Astyanax mexicanus: one gene and its partners. The protein of the gene in region 3 interacts with the protein of the main gene of each other region in a pairwise test. Links are inferred from orthologs where the notes say so. Each region holds a gene or a part of one and is shown on either strand. Other genes may lie near its edges.

What was found. The genes of interacting proteins can lie anywhere in the genome.
Region 1: the proteins of atxn1a (region 3) and trip6 interact in binary tests that used the Homo sapiens proteins (3 or more experiments, as listed by UniProt). The link is inferred for Astyanax mexicanus from reciprocal best matches to the Homo sapiens genes ATXN1 and TRIP6.
Region 2: the proteins of atxn1a (region 3) and tcap interact in binary tests that used the Homo sapiens proteins (3 or more experiments, as listed by UniProt). The link is inferred for Astyanax mexicanus from reciprocal best matches to the Homo sapiens genes ATXN1 and TCAP.

What each region holds. Positions count from the first base shown.
Region 1 is NC_064415.1:18,461,156-18,468,406, forward strand, and holds the start of trip6 (thyroid receptor-interacting protein 6), read right to left. Parts: upstream 3,023-7,251; 5' UTR 2,947-3,022; intron 2,914-2,946; exon of another isoform or gene 2,792-2,913; intron 1-2,791. UniProt on the Homo sapiens protein: Relays signals from the cell surface to the nucleus to weaken adherens junction and promote actin cytoskeleton reorganization and cell invasiveness. Involved in lysophosphatidic acid-induced cell adhesion and migration.
Region 2 is NC_064426.1:36,180,116-36,187,010, forward strand, and holds tcap (telethonin), read right to left. Parts: upstream 3,023-6,895; 5' UTR 2,824-3,022; coding exon 2,675-2,823; intron 1,365-2,674; coding exon 974-1,364; 3' UTR 223-973; downstream 1-222. UniProt on the Homo sapiens protein: Muscle assembly regulating factor. Mediates the antiparallel assembly of titin (TTN) molecules at the sarcomeric Z-disk.
Region 3 is NC_064410.1:43,978,995-43,985,997, forward strand, and holds the start of atxn1a (ataxin-1a), read right to left. Parts: upstream 3,026-7,003; 5' UTR 2,850-3,025; intron 1-2,849. UniProt on the Homo sapiens protein: Chromatin-binding factor that repress Notch signaling in the absence of Notch intracellular domain by acting as a CBF1 corepressor. Binds to the HEY promoter and might assist, along with NCOR2, RBPJ-mediated repression. Binds RNA in vitro.

The sequences.
Region 1 (7,251 bases), on a different chromosome or scaffold from region 3:
GCTACTCGCCTACATCTGTCCATATCTACTGTCAGAGGAATTATTAAGAAGTTTAAAACAACTGGAAGAGTGGTAAACAAGCCTGGACGAGGACGCAAGTTTATTTTGCCACCACGCACAGTGAGGAGGATGATAAGAGAAATAAAAAGTTCTCCAAAGCTCACTGTTACAGAATTGCAACAAATGGTAGCTTCTTGGGGTCACAAAGTCTCCAAAACAACCATCAGGCGCTATCTACATGCCAACAAGCTGTTTGGGAGGCATGCACGGAAGAAACCATTTCTCACTCACAATCATAAACGCAAACGTTTGGAGTTTGCTAAGCGGTACTATGACTTCAACTGGGACCGTGTGCTTTGGTCAGATGAAACAAAGATAGAGCTTTTTGGCAACAAATGCTCTAAGTGGGTCTGGCGTAACACAAGAGCTGAGTATGCAGAAAAGCACCTCATGCCCACTGTGAAATACGGCGGGGGATCAGTGATGCTGTGGGCCTGTTTCTCTTCTAAAGGCCCTGGGAACCTTGTTAGGGTGCATGGCATCATGAATGCTCTAAAATACCAGGACATTTTAAAACAAAATCTGGTGGCTTCTGCCCGAAAGCTGAAGATGGGTCGTCACTGGGTCTTTCAGCAAGATAATGACCCTAAACATGTGGCCAAATCTACACAGAAATGGTTCACCGCACACAGAATCAAGCTCCTCCCATGGCCATCTCAGTCCCCAGACCTCAACCCCATTGAAAACCTGTGGGGTGAGCTGAAGAGGAGAGTGCAGAGGAGAGGACCCAGGTCGTTGGATGATTTAGAGAGAATGTGCAAAGAGGAATAGTCAAAGATCCCTCTTTCTGTATTCTCCCATCTTGTGAAACATTACAGGAGAAGATTAGGTGCTGTTTTGTTGGCAAAAGGGGGTTGTACAAAGTATTAACATCAGGGGTGCTAATAATTGTGGCACACATGATTTGATGTTAAATAATTATTTCTTAATGTGGGATTTTTTTCCTACTGAATAAATTCACTTGAGTTAAAGGTTGTATTTTACTCTTTTTTTCCATCGTGGTCCTATATTATTTTGAACAAAACTCAATTTATGAGAAGCTAAAGAACACATCTTAACCAGGGGTGCCAATAATTATGGAGGGCACTGTATATATATATATATATATATATATATATATATATAAACAGGAGGACCGGTGAGTTTTTTGGCTTTCTCAGTCACGTGACATCGGGTTCAGTAGCTCCTCTATTTCCACTCGCTATTGTTTAAGTGGATCTCCGTGGAAACGCACGGCCGAAGTGTAATGACAGTGTGTGGCAGTGGACAACTATTTTATAAAATGCGAGGTAATGAAAATTAGATTTGTGTCTGGTGGGGACTAAATATTTCAGCGAAAAACAGTAAGTAATTCAGAAGACGTTTGGGAAAAGCACGTACATGGTCGTTCCCGGACTGGAATAAAATCAAAGAGGATCCCCCCCATGAATGAGATTTCAGATAGGACTAATGACTAGGCTTACTCCCTGTCCGGAGGAAGCTGCCCCATAGTGTTTAGAAGAGTGGAAAAGGCGGTTGGTCATACAAATGCTAACGTTACTGTTTTACTGTCACTTTATCATAGATAACTAGCTAACTATATAACCTACTGCTAACTAACCAAGTAACGTTAACCTAACACAGTAACCGAGTCAACCTAGTTAGATAGGTTAGCTTACTAGCCGATATGTTGTTACCGAAGAGCAGCATCACGGTATGTCAACATCACGGTATACCGGTGTCAGAACTAGACATAAATAATGTCTGAGAAATTTAAACTGTATCATATAGCTAGATAAAAGACAAGAGAGCAATAATTATCTAGTTAAAACGAAAAATAACTTAAAATTAACATTAAGCTGGCTAGTTATCTAGCTAGGTAGGTAGGTAGCTAGATAGCTTGTTAACTAGCGTTAGCTGTAAAAGTTTGCGAGAAGGTTTGGCGTGCTCAGGCGGACTAGGCTGGTGCCTGGACCCTGTCGGACGCAAACTCAACCCCGAGGAGTGTTGGGCCGAGTTCTGGACGTGTAACTAATAAGAGAATGTTAGTTTTTAGGTGGACACAAGCTAGTAAACAACATACTGAACGAAGCAGTGGTGAATCAAAGTGGGCCAGTGTCACACTCCTAGCTATCTAACTATCTATCTACAGTTTAGACTATAGTAAACTATAGTAAATCTTAACCAACACGACACGTCCAGGTTTCAGCACAGAATAATTAGCCATGCAGCTTCCCCGAAACCCGCAGCGTATCGTGCGAGGGCTGCGGAGAAAACAGGAACAATGGAGCATTTATTGATTTCCGTTAACGTTACCCTACCTCTTCAAAAACAAGTGCTGGCTAATCCAGCTCATCTACAGCTGGCCTGACTCGCCTCTCATCTGCACAACACACACAGTTAATCTACAGCTCACGATCCTGAACTTTAAGGGACGAAGATGCTGCCCTGTGTCGGACTGTGTTACAAAATACTGTTAGGTTAACTATTTAACGTAGCTAGTTAAAATGAGCTAAATCTGGTAGCTAGGTTAAACATTTCAGGCGAGAAGCTTAAAGAAGAAGACATCTGTGTTTTGGACTGGAGCATGATAAACCACTAGCGTGCACACAAAACAGGATTAAATTAAAATTCATTACTGAATCACTAATAGCCTCCTGTCCCCACTGTCCCCTTAAAAGAAAAAGTTACAGTGCTGCTGGTCTGCCTATGCTAGCTCATGCTAGGTTAGATGACTAACATTAGAGCTAACCTAGCGCCATCCTCTCTCGTTGTCACACCAAAGAGCGCTGAAAACGGCCCGCCTCACTTCACCACGTCTTCGACAAGGTCACGACTGTTTAGCTACCCGTATAAAAGTTGTTTAGGTGTCTGAAGTACTGAGTACTTTCAGTTCCTGTAACCTACTTTTTTCGTGGATCCTGCGTGTGACTGTGTGCCAGAGGCCCCGGAGAAGCGGCGTTATTTCCTTTTCCACCTGTTTTCAGACAAACACCGCCCCCTCAACTGGGATTGGCCGCTCCAGGTTTTATTATTATTATTTTTTTATTTAATTTTATCCATTACAATCAAACATAATACATAGAAAATAATAGTATACACACAAATACACAATTATTAATAATATTGCTAGGCTAATAAACATGATTTATTTAACTGTAAAATGGCTTTTTGCTTCGAAAAGGGCTGTATTAATTTAATATAGTGTTTCATCTCTTTTTCAAAAGCAACAAAATATATTTTAACTGGAAACATTACAATTAATAATTATTTAAAATGTGACCATTAAAAACATATAAAATGTATGATATATCAAAGTAAAATTTAAAATGAACTTTTCTACTTCTTTCTTACTTAAAATATACAGCAAGGAATGCATAGTTAAACGTGATTGGAGGTTTCTCCAGGCTCCAATGTGCACATATAACAAAATAAATACACGCTAGACAAGTAGACATTTTAGACAGCAATAAAATATATAAAGAGAAAGAATGTTTTAAAATATGCATGTGCATATTTATATCTGTAATTCAGCAAAAGACAGAAAATATACCAGACAGTACATTTCATGCATTTTAAAATAACATAAGCACTTACGTTTTCCAAAATTATATTTTAAATCTGTTTCAAAATTGTGCGTAAATGTTATAAAAAAGCTTTTGGCTGGATATATTTTATGTAACAATACAAGCTTATATGACACTTCCTTAATTATATTAGTAATCAGGTATTGATTAGGAAAATAACCATATCTTTTAGCAGCGAATGTCTTCAAGAAAAAAAATTTATGAAAATAAGCTGCTAGCCAATCCAAACTCAGCTCGAGGAATACTATCAGCCAATCCGAGCCCAGAACAAGGGACATGTCAAAAACGGGTGGGTAAAAAATACGCTGGGAAGCGCACCAAACTCGTGACGTAAGGGGTGTGTGTGTGGGGGGTTGTGCTGGCCAGCTAGTGTCCCATATTGGAATGACAGATGGTACACATCCTTATCTACAGAAAAAAAGGGAAAAACACCCTGTTGCCTGAGGCGACCTAATCCCCAGTCTTTATAGTTTTTTTTTTTTTTTTTTTTTTTTTTTTTTACAGAGGTAGCCTGGCCTATAAATAAAGCATATCTTTCCTGCTACTTTTGATTCCACCATTGTGGTACATGCCATTTTGGGAAGTTGATTACCAGTGTGACAGGGTAAAAATTAAATATAGGGTAGGAGGAGATGATAAACCACTTATAAACTACATGGACAGCTAAAGTGACAGCTGAAGTGTCCTTCACACTTTGGGTCACCCCTAAACACACACGTTTTAGGACAATTTAGGAGAGACAGAAATGGACCTGAAAGTGAGAGAGGCATGTGGGTTGTTGATGCAGCACAGCAATATTAAAAAAATATATACAAACATGACTTAAGGTAAACACCATTGTGCAGTTCTCACGAGTGTTATTCTGTCCACTTTACCAAAGATATATAGTTGTTACAAGTCAGTGGAGCATCGCAATTACACATCACATGTCATGTTACAGTATTTTTATTTATATTTCTAAACTGACAGTAAGGCTTATTTTAATGTATGTTTGCATTTGGCAGCATGGTAGCATGGTCTGCTACACAGCAGTGTCTGGGGTTGTGTGTTTGATCCTTAGGTAGCTTATCTGTGAAGAGGTATGTGTCCCCCAGGTACTATAGTTTCATTTTTCCTCCCTAAAATATGTGAGTAATAATTTGGTTATGCTAAACTAACCCCTAGGTGTGAGTGTGTGGTACCTTGTAAAAGATTGGTGTCCATTTTAGTGACTCTGGGTAGGCATTTGACGGACTGTGAGACCAGGGGATTATTTTTGTATCTTTATTATTTTTATTACAAGAAAAGTAATTATTCATATTTGTGCAAGGACCAACCAACACTGTCGTATACTGTATGTATAATTCTATATTCATTTTTTGACTGATTTTACTGTGAGGACATCCTAGACAATACTGGTCTAGAATAGACATGCTTTATGAAAATCACCAGGCATGTTAATTAGCCTAGAGTCACTGCTGTCTTTCAGCTTTCCTGATGGCCAATCAGACTTCTTACCATGATTATTATTCTAATTAGCACCATCATCCCCCAGTGCTCAAGAGTCTAATTAAATATTCACATCTCTGTTCCCTATGGTGGCTCATGTCATCTGTTCATCCAGACAGATATCATTACACACTCTGTGTGAGTCAGTGATGTTGACCCAAAGACTCAGGTGGTGAAGTGTTATCTCATTAAAGCAGTGCAGGAGCGGAAGTTGATCATGTGACAGATTAATGGCATGCACCACAGGTGAGGGGGGACATTATTCTGACATTATTCAGATGCTTTAATTAAAATCTGTCTTAATCATCATCTGTAGAGACAATCACATAAATGGTTGTGACAGGTATGCTTGAGGTTTTTAATCGATAGAATAATATTAGTATGATTCCAGTATTATTTACCTGTATGTTTCAGGTGTTCTCCTGTAGGAGCATGGCTTTGGCTCTTCCAAAAGCTTTTCTCAGAATAAGTCCTGGAAGGATTTCACGGAAGAAAAGGAACCGCTGAGGGGAAGCCAAGGATAAGTGGAATTTGAGGGGAAATGTCAAGGATAATTCCAGGGAAACTAGAAGTTGTCTTCAAGCATCACTGAACAGGTACTGCTGGATCAGCACACTTTACACATGTCGTCATATATAAGGACCTCATGTTATATGTTATACAGGATGCACGTTTTGCAGACACATACATTTGTGTAATGTATTAATAATTGCATTTTAAATTACTGAATATTATGCAATAAAATATGAGTATTATAAAAAAAAAACATTCTTAAATGGAAGTCTTAAAATTTAACCAATACATTTATTTTAGTGGGAAGACTAAAGACTAATAATATACATAAATGTATTTAGTTATATCAAAGTAATACAAAATGTAATTTGGCTGCCTGCAGTGCAGTGATAAGGACAATTTCATCAAGGACAAGGCTTAGTCCAGGAAAACAACCCTATATGTTTTAAACCCTTAAACCCAGTTAGATTCTTTACTCACATGACTGACTTTACTTCACTCTGACCTTATTAATTGTCCAAAGCTTTTGGCATTTATAAATTTACTGAATTCATTTTACAACAAATGAATACAAGTAATAAATATCATAATGCCTTTGCCAAAATGAAAGTCACCTTCTCCAAAGAGAAAGCATCTCTACCAAATCTGAATTATAATTACAGTTTTTGACATTTATTATAATGCAATTATTCAATTGCATTGTGTGTAAATCTAATTAAATATTACATATATTAATTTGTTTCCAATACATTCAGTTCGGAGAAAAAATAGGAATTTTAACTTTCTTACTTCCATCAAATAATGAACAAATTGTGTCTTCTGACCAGGTGTCCTCAAACCTATTGTGACTTGTAAATGATATATATTTTTGTCCTGTTGATTAGCTTAAGGATTTTTCTTCTGCTAAATTGTTTTTATGCAGTTAACGGATATAGTTTCCCAGTTCTTTATTTACTATTTAAATCCCACAGTGGGTTTCTCAAAGCAGACAATCAATAATACTGCAGAAGTTGGCTGTCAGCACATTAGTTAACACTGCCCTCAGTCCCCGGCTGTTGACAGGTGTGTGAATAGGGTATTGTTGTTAGCAGGGTTTTTCTTCTGATCCATTTCCGATAAAAGACTTTTTATGTGGCATTAGCTTCTATTAATAATGCTGCTGGTTATGAAAGAGGTAGCTTCGTCCTGATATCTTGCACCATGTTTAGAATAAGAATAGTTAGACTGATGAAGGATTTCATTATGGAGTTTATAGTACTGATCATGTCCAACAACTTTCCTTTAGTTTCCTGCCAGTTTTTTAATGACAGTGAATCTTGGTTGATTCATGGGTTTCCTCAGGGCCTTTTCTCACTTTCCTAGTAGTGAGTAGTCTATTCCTTGTTTTTATTGCTGTCTGTCTCTCGCTCTCTTGCTCTCTCTCTCTCTCTCTTACACACACACACACATACACACTTGTCCACAGAAGTTGCTCAGATATTCCCCTCCATCTCCACAGAGGAAGCTCCTTTCAGTATTTCTTTATTGTTTTCCTTGCCCAATGTTTTGCACGTTTCTGCCTCCTGCTACCTTCCTAAAGAGGACAAACATCCCCTCTCACTCAGCCATCCACCGGATAGCCACA
Region 2 (6,895 bases), on a different chromosome or scaffold from region 3:
AACCACTTAGCAACACATTAGCAACCAACACCTACAACATAGTAACTAACAACAATACCATATCAACAATTAACCAACCAACCAACACCTGTATCACAGCAACAGCTGCTTCTGCTGGGACTGAACTGTCTAGTTTCATTTGAACCACTAAAAGTTTTTATTACGTTTTTTTTTTTGTATTATGCTGTATTAAAACACATTAATGAGGCTCGAAGCAATCATTTTTTTTTATGTCATTTATTTATTGAAACAATACATTGGACATCTTACAAACAAGAAAAAAGACCACTGTGATCTATGAGGAAAAAACAACTGCATGTGAAGCAACAGTTGACAAATAGTGCAATTTCATTCATTTATAAGTCGTAACAAAATAAAATATATTTACCTAAACATTGTAAACATGCTTATTGTTGCTTTTTTCATTGCATAAACTGCAGGACTGCTTACAAAATACACATAAACCTGACTGTCTCTGCTTCTGTCCCTCTGTTTTCTTCTGTATCTTTCCTTCTTGATTTCTGACTGATTTCCTCCAAGTAGGCATCAGTACCTCAAAGGATCTTGCCTGCCAACCTTCAAGTCCAGAACTTGCTCTGTCTGCTTCATTTCTTCTGTCTAGTTTTGTACGATTTGTGCCAATGGTTTCCAGCCGAAAACATGCTCAACTCCTTCCTCTAAAGTTTAACTTGCTTTACTTTAATTATACAGGTCTATTTAATTAATCAGATACTATTTACAGCTCATATCTTCTTTACAAACCTCTTGCATCGTCATCAGCAACATCAGTCTCTGCAGTTTCTCAAGCAGGGCGAGGGCAGTAACAAAGAAGGCTTTAAAACGTCTATTGTGTACATTTTCTACCTATATCTGCAAGGTTAGCCCCCTTTTCTCAGTGCCCTTCCACAGTTCAACAAAGTCCAAACATTCTTCGACTCAGCTTCCCCTCCGTCCCCTCTTGCTCTCTTTCTCTTCACCCCCTCTGGGCCTCCTGAGACATGGACCTGCCCAGGGTTCTGGCCGATTTGGCGAACTCCATGTGGGTTGGTTTGACGGGTGGCAGGTCTCTGGTGATCTCCTGGATGTCCCTCTTGTTTGGGCACTCTCCGTTGGGTGTGCGGGCAGGGATGAAGTCCTCGGGGGTGTGTGGAGTGCCGCGACCCAGTCGGATGCCAAGGTCCACTGGTTTGAAGACTGGCAGGGGGAGGGTGTTTCTTTTGGGAAGCAGCTGGTGCTCCCGAACGCCAGACTCCAGAGTTCCCACTCTTCGCACTCCCGATGGACAGGACTGGGTGAGGGGGCGAGCTTGCCAGTAACGAGACATGGTCTCCCGTCGTGAATCGTCGGACATTGCCATGGATTGGCTAGAGAGAAGAGAGAAGAAGGCGCAGGAGAGAAGTGGTTAACCCCTTTAAAGGTCCAGGGTGGGTTGTTAACAAGCTGTTAAGGTTTATTGCAGATGCATAAGTATTAATTACTTGCTACTCTAATTTCCAGGCAGTATTTATGAGGGTAAGGGGCTAACATGTGGGCTGACATGCAAGTCCATTAAGGGGGTCTATTTTAGGCTTATAATTCAGTTACTAATCTTAACCACTTGCTGTTTAGAGAGAAGGAAATCTGGGTCCAATCCAGGGAAATCGTTTCATGTTTGGGTCAAATTTCCAACCCAAATCTTTTACACCCTATTTAGCCAATCAAAGACATCTGAAGGTATTTGCAAAGTGGATATGGTAAATTGTGCTCAGGTGGATCAATTTGGGTTGGAACCAAAGTCTGCAGGAAGGTTGAGGACTACTAGTTCACATTGTCATAGACTGGTATTGTGACCTTCTGGAGAGGTACATTCCTGCAAACTTTGGATGCAACTCAACATGATCCACCCAAGCCAGAAGAATCCCATTCTGCAGGGAGGTAGTTCTTCAGGAGAAGGGATGGAGTTCACTGCTTCATATCTTTTTAAGGTCTCAGTGACAGATTTGATGACCTGCTGGAGAGGTACATTCCTGCAAACTTTGGATCCAACCTTATAGCACGTTCTACCCTATCCAAGTAACTACTGTGTTCAGATGTCTTTGATTGGCTAGACGGATAAGGTAGGGTTGGATGCAAAGTTTTTAGGGACTTTAGCACACACCAAATTCAGCCAATTAAAGACATCTGAAGGCATAAGTTAGTTGGTAGGGTGGATTAGGATTGGATCCAAAATCCAAAACTATAATACATCATTTAATCAATTAAGGACTGAATCTAAAGGGAACAGTTGGATACAACGTTTATAGGAAGGAAGTTCTCCAAGAGCAGGATTGAAAACCACTGGTCTTTGTCTTTGTAGTCCTCAAAGAGAAGTCTCTTTAGCTTCTAAAGGACTACCTTCCAGCAGGTTTCAATTCCAGCCCAAATCAATCAGGTTTCTTTTAGCCAATAAAGGAAATTTGATGGCAGAGGTTGGTTGGATAGGGTGGTTTTGATCCACAGTTGGGTTGAAGGTAGTTCTTCAGGAGCAGGACTAAAGACCAAAAGACTTTTTGGGTCAAATATATCAGAAAGTCAGGAGTCTAGGATAACTTTAAGAAGAACCTGAGAAAGACATTCCTAAGTTATAAAATTAAGGAAAGACTGTTCCCACACAAATAAAATTAAATGTAAGTTAAGTGTAAGTATATGAACTTACCGATCCTCGTGCTGTGTTTTCATGTTGATGCTGTGCCAGTCAGCGGTGTAGCTCTCTCTCTTGGCAGCGTTCTCCTCCCTCACACTGCAGCTCAGCTCGGCTCCCACCACGCAGCCGCCACGCTTCTCCAGGACTGTGCAAACCTGCATCTTCAGCTTCTGTGTCTTGTCTTGTTACTTAAGGGTTAACTGTAATTGTAGAGGATCTACAATGATCGTCTCTTAAAGAGGATCTTCACTGGTTCTGTTCTTCTTCTGCTAAGAAGATAGATCTCAATTTGTTCTTCACCTGGTTCTTCAACTGCTTGCCCCCTGAGCAGTGTGTGTATGCTGTCTGACTGAGCGAGTGTGTGTATCTGCCTTTTATACCGTCTCTGATGCTATTTCCACACGATGCCCTCACTCCACAGCCTGTCTGCACCGACACCTGATATTCCCTCCCGTACTCGCATACACTCATGTTGGCCGCCGTGTGCTGGAACAGCGCAGGGGAGGTTTAGAAATCCCCCGATGCCTGGAAATGATCCCTACAACACACACACATGCACACACATGCGTTATTAGAACTTGGGGAATGTTCAATCCAGTGCTCTGTTATGCAGCTAGTCAGTCCATCAGTCCATAATGTTTCACTTTCAATACTTTAAACCACATTTACTCACATTACTGTAATTGAGTAGATTTTATAAATATAGGTAAAAATAGGTAATTTTACTTTTACTCAAGTACATTTTGACACAAGTAGTTTACTTCACTACATTGGAAAACTCCCTGTTATTAAGCAAAAAAATAAATGCTGGGGGACAAAAAAATAATTGTCTGAATAAAAAAAAAGTGAGTTTTGTTCTCCATGGTAGCGCAGCTGAACGTTTCCTTTTTAACTTTTAACAGTAAAGAAAAAAAAATGGATCATAGAAATCTATGCCACTTGTTCTTTAAAATGTTTGTTAGGGTGGTCTGAACAAATACTGCCTGAAAGGTCCAAATTATCTAATTTAATAATTATTTAATTTATGATTTGTTTGGTGTACTTTTTTACACCAAATAAATAAAAGTAACTATGTAACTTTTACTCAAAGTACATTTTACATTGAGTACTTTTTACTTTTACTCGAGTAGGTTTTTAGATGGGTACTTTTACTTTTACTTGAGTAGAATTTTAGCAAAGTAAAGGTACTTTTACTTAATTACAATTTTCCAGTACTTTTTCCACCTCTGCTTTAAACATTGAGGCAGGTAGAGTTGATTATTAAATGATAAAACAATGAATAAGCAATAGATAACCTGTATTTTTTTATAAGTTAACCACACTGTTCCTGTTCCTACACTCTTCAAATCAAAGGTAATTATACAAATAGCTGTATGATCAATGCCATAAAATAATTACTTTTGGAAATAGAGATGTATGCAAATGTGAAAAAACCTTTTAATTGGAATAGAACCTTGAACTTAATGATCTGACCTTAAACAGATATACTAAAAGGTTATTAATGCCAACATCTCTTTTACATTAATGATTATTTCTGGAACCACAAACGTCTCTTTCTGAATCCTTAATTACACCTGATTTTTTTACTTTTGAATTTCAAATTGATATCAAGTAACATCTCTCTTACATGCAAATGCAAACATATCGATGGAACAGGTCTCAAACAAATGCAAAAGTATTGACCATTTCCTGTCAAATCATCCCAGCACAGGAGTCACAGTAGTACAGCAGTATTTCTTAGATAACTGTAGTCTTGTTTGTCCCCCCTTCCCTCCCTTCTACTTCTCTCTATCTCTCTCTCTCTCAGCTGTAAGTAGATTTTTATCACTATTTATTCTTTATCTCTCACTGTACTGAACTTTTCTGAATTACAACTTTTAAAACCACGGTGTATTAGGTGTGTGTGGACACACTGAACATGCCAATGCTACCCTTTTAGTTTTTTCAAGTATTGACCAACGAAACAGGAAGCACCTGGGACTAAGGGGCGGAGCTACAAATGAACAGGTGAGCAAAAGAGGAGGAGACAGGATACAGTGTTGCCAACTAAGCGACTTTGTCGCTATATTTAGCGACCTTTCAGACCCTCTAGCAACTTTTTTTTTTGTAAAAAAGCGACTAGCGACAAATCTAGCGAGTTTTTGTGGTGTTATTGGAGATTTTTGGCGACTCTGAGATGAACACATGCTCTTCAGTCACTGTCCGCAGCGAGCAGCAGGGGGCTGCTGTGAGCCCCGCCCACAACACTCACAGTGCAGTCTCTCACAGACATAAAGACCCAAAAGGCGTTCCATAACAGTCAGGCCACACCCACACCGCTCCACGAACACACTGTAAATGAACCGTGCGTGCCCACATCCACCGCTGACTGACCACGCCCCATATTTACAAAGCAGGATGTAAATATAAATGTGTCTTCAGTGTGACACGAAAAGAAATCACTTAATTTAACTTCCGGGAGATTATATGTGACTCGCGGGCATCAGGGAGCCACTAGCGAAATGTGGGAGACTCCCGCAGCTTCAGGGAGACTTGGTTTGTCTGCTTTGCAGTCACTGACATCTTGAAGCTCCTTGTGATCGAAGCATTTACATCATCACAGTATCACAATAATGGTGAATGCACATTATGTTGTGGAGCTCAGACATGCAGACATGCACCCATACAGTAAACACCACTATTCTTACACTATATGCTCTTTCACCACTGTTGTCATCACTGTGGAAGAAACGCAACCTTCGCCATAATCCCCACTCTGCCCAGGCTCTTTAACAGCTCTAATGGCTGCACTGGAGCTTCAGAGACAGACTTCACTAATGTGGAAAGTCAGATAGGCTCAGAGATAGCCGGCGTGGAAACTATTTTAGACCTCGGTCTGTTGTGCTTTTGTCACTGAAGAGCAGATATGATTCTATTCGCCATTCTCAGAGCTCCTGCACTTTTGAACTAAGAGAAAAAAACAAAAAAACATGTGGAATCTTCACTCTGGAAAATACAGGACACATGAGAGAATTAAGGGGGCTTAACACGGTTCATCAGCTAATTTCCAGAGCAAATGCTTAAGCCTATAAAATTACCCTTGCTAATTTGGTCAGTTGCAGCATTTGCTAGGGCTTAAAAGAAGCTGATTTACAGCACAGGCACAAGAGCACAGAGCAGAGATTCTTTCTAAGTTCTTTCATGATATTTTAACAGATTATTGCTGAAAGTATTCCCTTACCCATCCAAATGGAACCTTATTAAATATAGGTTCCAATCCCTTCCATTGCCACATGTGTATAAAACCAAGCACCCAGGTATGCAGACCGCTTCTACAAACATTACACTGTAAACCCATACGTTGTTAGAACTCAAATGATTTAAGTCTGTTTTACATAAAATTGGATATTTCTAAACAATACTCAACTATTTTGAGTTAGATGAACATTTGTGAGCACATATAATCTTTATCTTTGACTTGAACCAATTTATAATAACTGAGTTTAGTCTGTTGCCATTAACAGCTACTTTTCCATTGGCTTCAGTCACAATCTATTTGCATACTGGGCGTGTCCAACAGTTTCTGACTAACACTCACCATCAGTGTGTAGTGATTCCCCCTGGACTACCTTAGAAATAAATCAACTTCCCTTTTAGTTGTAAAAAAACTTGATCTTTAATTTATGCTCACTTAAGTTTTTATTTCCTATACCTTAACAAATTTGAGCAAACTTAAAAAAGTAAACTCAACTTATCTGGTCTTACAGTATAACAAAGCTAAAAAAGTTAAGTCAACTTCCCCTTTAGTTGTAATAACTTGATGTTAAAAGGATGTTTGAAATGAAGTTGAAAAAAGAGAATAAAGTATTATTTAGTTATATATATATATATGATTGTTAAAGTACTATAAGTTAAATAATTATACTTCAATCTTTTTATTTTTTCCATCAATTCAAAGCTTAAAAACACTTAAAATCAACTTCTTCCCAGGTTGACATTTTTTACAGCGTACGTACAGTGGATATAAAGTAAAGCAGTCATAGTGTATCTATAGAGAGAGACTAAGCGTGGGCCTATGTGACACTAGTCACTAGTCTAGTCATGGTATGATTTACTGCACTGCTGATAGATGGATGATGGGGAGGGAGGAGGGCTTGTTTCTCAGCTTTCACACACACACACACACACACACACACGTACCGTACTGCAACCTTCACCCTGACACACAGGTCAAATACAGGAATTGATGTCACT
Region 3 (7,003 bases):
GTTGCTAGATGCATTAACGCCTCCGTGTCAGACTCTTGAGATTAAAAACTTTTTTTTTTCTCGCTTGGAAAACAACATATCTGCTCCAGTTCTGCTCCAGTGAGCCACTGCCAGCTTGAGCAGGGAAACCAAACAGCCTGATCACATACATGACATTATGAATCATCTGAAAACAATGCGACTGTATTGGTTACTCATTACTCATTCATTCAATTATTCATTCATTCATCCATTCATTCATTCATTGTTTCATTTATGAGTGCTTAATGAAGCTGACTGAGCTTGTGAAGATACATGAACACCTCAACTGCACATACAATGCTATAAATAACCGAAAAATGCAAATACATTTATTTATTTGTTTGTTGTTTATATTTGCATTAAATTGACCTGCATTAGATCAATAAAATGAGTACCTTGAGCATCAATGTGACAAGAAATGGTTTAAAAAAGTGCATTTCCTTTATGCATTTATTTTATTTTAGTGATGTAGGCCTATTTATATTTGCATGCAGTAAAGTAGCATGTACTGGATTGTACTGAAGCTTAGTATTTGAGCACTTCTACTTCAGATCAACATCCATTTGATGTCAATAATCTAGAAACTCCTAATTATATATATATATATATATATATATATATTAATATTATTATTACAGTATCACTAATTCTGTTATTATCTTTAATAATCTTAAATAATTAACTTCCTATTTTAGCAATAAAGTAGCTTTTTATTGCACAGGGAATGTGGGCAGGTTGTGAATGACAGTAAAAATGCAAATACATTTAGATATGCTGCATTAAAATGACCTTTCTTGGACAGGGGCTTTTAATTACCCTTTTTACAATAAAGTAAGCTTTTTTAGTACAGGAAATGTAAAAGGGCAAATACATTCTATTTATTTATTTGCATAGGCATTGAAAAAGTTTCTCTTATTGGACAGGGACTTTTAAGTACATTTAATTCTTTATGATATTAACAAATTATCAATAATTCTGTTTCTATATAATTTTAATAAATATGGTTGTGACTGATTGTGAATGGCGGTTAAATGCAAATAAATTCTATTTATGTATTTATTTATTTACATATGCATTTAAGTGACCTTAATTGGAAGGGGACCTTTAAATACATTTAATGTTATTACATTTATTTCTATTATGTTATTAAAATAGTATCATTAATTCTGCTTCAAATTCGATAGTTGTCAGTTAATGGTTATCTATATTTTGATAAATATGTTAATTATTTTATTTTATTTTTGTGATAAAGTAAGCTTTAAACGTGCATTTGGATAACTGTACCTGGCAACACTGTGTTCTCCTTTTGTTATTTATTTTATTGTATATGTTTTAGGAAGGCAATTGTATATTTTATTTTCTATGTTTTTGTTGTTGTAAAGCACTTTGTGTCTACTCTCTGTGAAAAGTGCTGTATAAATAAATTTTACTTACTTACTTTACCACACTGGGAATGTGAGCAGGTTGTGAATAACTTAAAATTGAAAATACATTCTATTTATTAATTTATTTGTTTGTTTATGCATTAAAGTGATCTTTATTGGACAGGGTCAGAGGGCAACAGTCCACCCCTAGGCAAATGAAGTCAATTGCAATTATACATTATTATCAAAATAAAACTATTTTGTTTATATAATACAACTATTATTATTATTACTATTTAATAATTCATATATTTTATTGACTGCATAACTTTTTCTCTTTATGCAATACAGTAAGATGAGCACGAGCACCTTCATCAACTGTAATGTTCCATATTTTTTTTGCAGTTAAAATAAACAGCGATATTTTTAGGAAGTCATATATATCTCCGTGTGTTTAAGGCACAGTTATAAAATAATGTGAATGTAAACTAACAGAAGAGGAGGAGGAGAAGGAGGAGGAGAGAGGGAGATACTGTAAGCTGGAGCAGAAGAGATCCCAGCAGCTCATTATATAACCAGCAGAGCTGGACTCACACACACTCACACACACCGGAGGCTAACTACACACACACGCACACAGCAGTGTCAATGAAACACACTCAATCCCGCTTTAAGTAGAAACAGTATGAATGGAGGAGCTGAACTCCAGCTGCTGTTTGTCACCTTTACTCAGCGCGGTGGTGGCTGAGGAGAGAGAGAGAGAAAGAGAGAGAGAGCTGTCAGTAACGTTAACTCAGGCGCCCCGTTTCTACGAATAAACAGCGTAGCGCGTAGCAACACTTCCGCAATTGTGTGTTTTCTGGTTCAGCAGCCCGATTCCCATAAGCGAGTCTCCTCAGCTAGGAAACAGAGACAAAACTACGCTAAAAAGCCACGACAAGCGACACGCTGGCGGTTTCCAAAAAGTACAAACGACTATCTAGCGCTGTGCGAAAACACGGAGCCGTGTGTAGCTTAGTTAGCGGAGAAGCTTGTGGGGAAGTTGGCCAGCGCCCTCTCCTCCCTCAGCAGCCCGGCCACAGCGCGCCCTGGCCGGCTTCGCCTCGCCCCAACCCCCGCGCTCTGACTCCCTCTCTCCCACTTACTCTCGCTCACTCTGCTCTGCGCTTCGAGTTGTTGTGTTAGTTTTAGACTCACTTAACAGCCTCCCTGCACGGTGTCATCCAGTCAAACTTACTGTATCAGACGCACGGATTTGGATAGAGCAGGTAAAGTAAGATAAATATTCAGTTTTTAGCTTTATTTTTGTATTTTTTTTTTTTAAATATGAACGCCAGTCTCTGATCCGCTGCGTCTCCTTTTCGCTCCAGCCATTTTATTCTCTCTCCGCTACTCTCTCTCTCACTCGGGGTGGAAAGGCAGGTAAAAGTGGCAGGAGAACCGGTGAGCATTGGGCGGACTTACTGTGCGCTGTAGCGGGCAGTGAAGTGCGCGGCTCTCCGTGTTGGGGCTTCCTGCGCCCGCTTTAGCCGGTGGAACCGTCTCCCCTCAACTAGCACGACGTCTGCTGCAGCAGAGCTAATAGCTCTGTGGCTCTATGCCCCCACCTCCTGGAAGTGTGTGACCGAGGGAGTGAGTGAGTGCGTGCGTGCGCGCGTGTGTGTGTATGTGTGTATGTGTGCGTGCGTATATGTGTGTGTGTGTGTGTGTGTAAGAGAGAGAGAGAGGGCGTGTGTACGTGTGTGAGTGTGTGAATGTGTAACCCAAATATGGAGCAGTTGGCCGGCCCCGTTAGCTGAGGGCTTTGAAGCCTGGGCTGTTTCATAAAAAAAAACCCGAGGAGGAGGGGGGCAGCCTTTAGCAGGGCTTACTTACTTACATTCAGAGTCAGTTCAGAAGCAGCAGACTGGAGACTTGTGCATAAATCTGTTAGAGGTTATAACAGACTAAAAAGGGCATGCATTGAATGCAAATGTTAGCTTCACTTATAAAAGAATAAAAGCACTTTCAAATGACCATGTCAATGTCATAATGGTACTGCGTTCAATCTGGGACACCATCACTGCAATAAAGTGTGTAGGCAGTATACTGTACACGGACCAGCCATAACTTTAAAAGCACCTGCCTCATATTGTGTAGGTAGGTACTAAAACAGCCTTGACTTGTCAAAACAAGGACTTCACCACAATGCACCGCTCAATTCAGTTCCATAATACTGATACAGAGCTGTACACTACAACAGGACAAGATCTCCAGTGCATTCCAACACTTCATGATCAATTTACAGTACATACTAATATCCCATTCAAATATTAGCATCAGATCTTTTTTTAAACATGTTTTTGCTCCCTATAAATACTGGTAGTTTACTTGCTGCCTAATATTTTATATCACAGCCTTAGCAGGCATTCTAGCATTCACCATTATTGTCATCATACTGACACAGGGTTGTACAGTACACTATGAGAGAAATTATATACTACTATCCCGTGACTTTTGGCATGTCATTCAGACATTACCATCAGATCTTTATTTTTAAGCATGTCTTTGTTCCCCGTGAATATTAGGCCACTTTTTTGTAGGTACTGACCGTTGTATACATGTGAACACCCCACAAGACCTGGTTAATTTTTCGGATGTGCTCTGACCCAGTTATCTAGCCATCACTATTTAGACCATATCAAAGTGGCTTCCTGCTTCCAACACATCAACTTCAGGTACTGACAGTTCACTTGCTGCCTAATATTGTATATTCCATCGCTTAGCAGGTGCAATAGTAACCAGATAATACTGTAAATGTTATTCATTTCACGTTGTTAGTGTTACTGTAAATAAGTAGGAAGTAAAAATCATGCAACGCATACAAATATATAAAAATCCGTAAAATCAACACAATATGCTCAAAAAGGTCTGCCCATAACCCATTTGTATAAAGTTGTATAAAATCCCAAACCTCTACTTCAATAATCAAAGTATAAAATTTGTTAAAATAATTTTAGTTATTATTTATAACTTTGTATTTTGAACCATTGAACTGTTTGAAAGAGCTTAACCCAGCAAGTCTGTCAACTAACTTATATATAATAAGAAATTATTGTTATTTTTTGCTAACAAAGCTGGTTTAAATATTAACAACTATTTGTTGATTATGTGCCCCATACACTGTACTAGTAACATGTAGGTTTAAAGGTTTGAATGTTTAATTGAAGGTTTGAAGATATGCCTGTATTCACCTGAAATGGTTACATCATATTCACATTATATAACAGGTGCTAACCTTGTGCTCTGAGATCAAGATCAAGAACTCCCAACCATACACAAATACAACATGGAACAAAACAACGTTCCTCCTGGATCTCAGTGCAACATACACACATGGCCTGTGTTTACAGCACCACACGATACTGTACACAACACATCGCAGTACATTATGAGTCCAAATACCTTTTACATAATGCTGGAATTGGCCTAAACCACAAAGGGTAAGACAGTACTTCTAATAATAAACACCCTTATCCTTTTGTGTGACATCATTAGGAGTTCAGGGTAAGTAGAAGTGCTGATAACTGTGTAAATAAACAGAAATCTTAAATGTAATTAATTTGGGTTTGTTATGTATTTGTGTTTAGTATGTATTCATTTTTTTAGTCATTTTATAAAGTAAAAATGATCTCATGTTGGCTGATTTTCCTGTTTATATGCAAATTTTATAACTTCCCTTTTTTTAGTACACTAAATGTTTGAAATTGGAACACACCTTCTTTTAAATGTCTTTACCTACTTCAAGTTACACCCATCGTTGACACAGAGTTGCTAATGCACATACACAGCTTATCTTGTCTAAAGGTTTGTATTGCAAAAAATTGGGTGTCGATAAAATGTCGTATAAAAGTCCCCAGTATTGAGCTGTGAAACAGTGGAACTGTGTTCTCTGGAATGGTGGAGCTCCATCCAATACATTTGGGATGAGTTAAGGAAGAGTTGGGGTGATGATCATCCAAACATCTTGTCCTCTCTATTGCTCTTGCTGCTGAATGCAATTAAGCAATGCTCCAAAGTCTAGTAGAAATCCCTGGAGAGTAAAGACAGTTACTCCAACAAAAGCATGAAATACTCTTTTAATACCCTTAGTTTCAGAGGAAACAATGAATGAGCAGCTTTCTCGGTACTTTTGGCAATATAGTATATGACTTTTCTTGCTACAGGCCGTGTAAGCTTTGGGGAAGTTACCGGAACCCCGTTACCTCAGGTTTAAAATTCTTGGAATCCACCTTCATAGCTGAGAGAATGTCTTCAGCAGTCCTCACTCAGAAACACTTAAAAACCACAGGTGAAGTTTAGGGGTGACAGATGCAATTGCGAATGAAGACACAGAGAAAAACATCAAGCTCTGCCCATTAAAAAGGCTTTTAGACCACCACTCACAGTTAAAACCCTGTAAACAAGCTGGGAAAATGTAAGTGCATTATCTCTGCTGCTGCTTGAGTTTTCGAACATTCAATTTAGGGCCAGAAATGTTATTTACTCAGAGAGAGGCCGGCAAAATCACTGTCATTTTTTCTTCAACATGACTCGGATGGGACTTTTCCAAAGTGTTTGTCGCTATGTTACTGTGGAGACCACATACTCTACTCGCTCCACCCGGGAATATATTACCATTCCTGCCCTGTTCAGCTACACTGACTGCACAATACACAGGCCTGTTCATGCAAGATATAAATAAATATATTTGAATGCCACAATTTATAAATTAAAGAGAATGGGAACAGCTCTCTTAAATAATACTATTTCTGATTATTGTGTTTGTTTAAGTGAGAGAGAGTGAGACAGTATAAGAGAGAGTGACACAGAGAGAGTGAGAGTGTGTTTTTAGCTCATGTTTACCTCATTACATAGCTGTTCTCTCTGGGCATGGGACTGTATGTGTGCTGCGTATGAGTGATCTGCCCTCAAGGAATTTCATAGACATACACACATAAACACACACAGTCTACCTTCAACAAAGTGAACCTCAGGAGAAATGTACCAGAGATGGGTGTGAACAAATTTTCCTATGTGTGAATTTATATTTCTGAGCTTGTGAGGACACTGAGGACACTCAAAGCAAAATGGTTTCTTTTTAGTAGTGGACCCCCTTTTAAAATCATTTTAAAAAGATAGAGACATTGCTTTGAATACAACAGAAAGGGGGGTTCTTCAACTGTTAAGTGGTCGGTCTGAGGATCACTGGTTCATTTGCAGATAATGCTGCTTGCCACCAGCAGCTGGAGTCAGAGATAGCTCAGTTGACCTAGTTCACCTAGCTAGGTGCTCTCTCCATACTAGAGATGTGTCATATTGTATCATATGCAATAATATTGAATATCGTTATTGCAAAAGCACCTAGTGTGATGTTAATCAGCACAGGCGTCTGTTGGCTGATCTATCAAAGCTGGGTTGCTGTGCTTTCCTCAAGCGAGCTGACTACCCAGTAATGCAAATTAGCGGCAACATAAAAAAAAGGATAGAGGAGGCGTGTGCTAATCTTCACCCCCTTCTTGGGATTGTGCTTCCAATTTAGGAATAATAAACAGAAATATTTTTTAAAAAGGTAGATGGTTACTTGTAGGAGTTTTTAT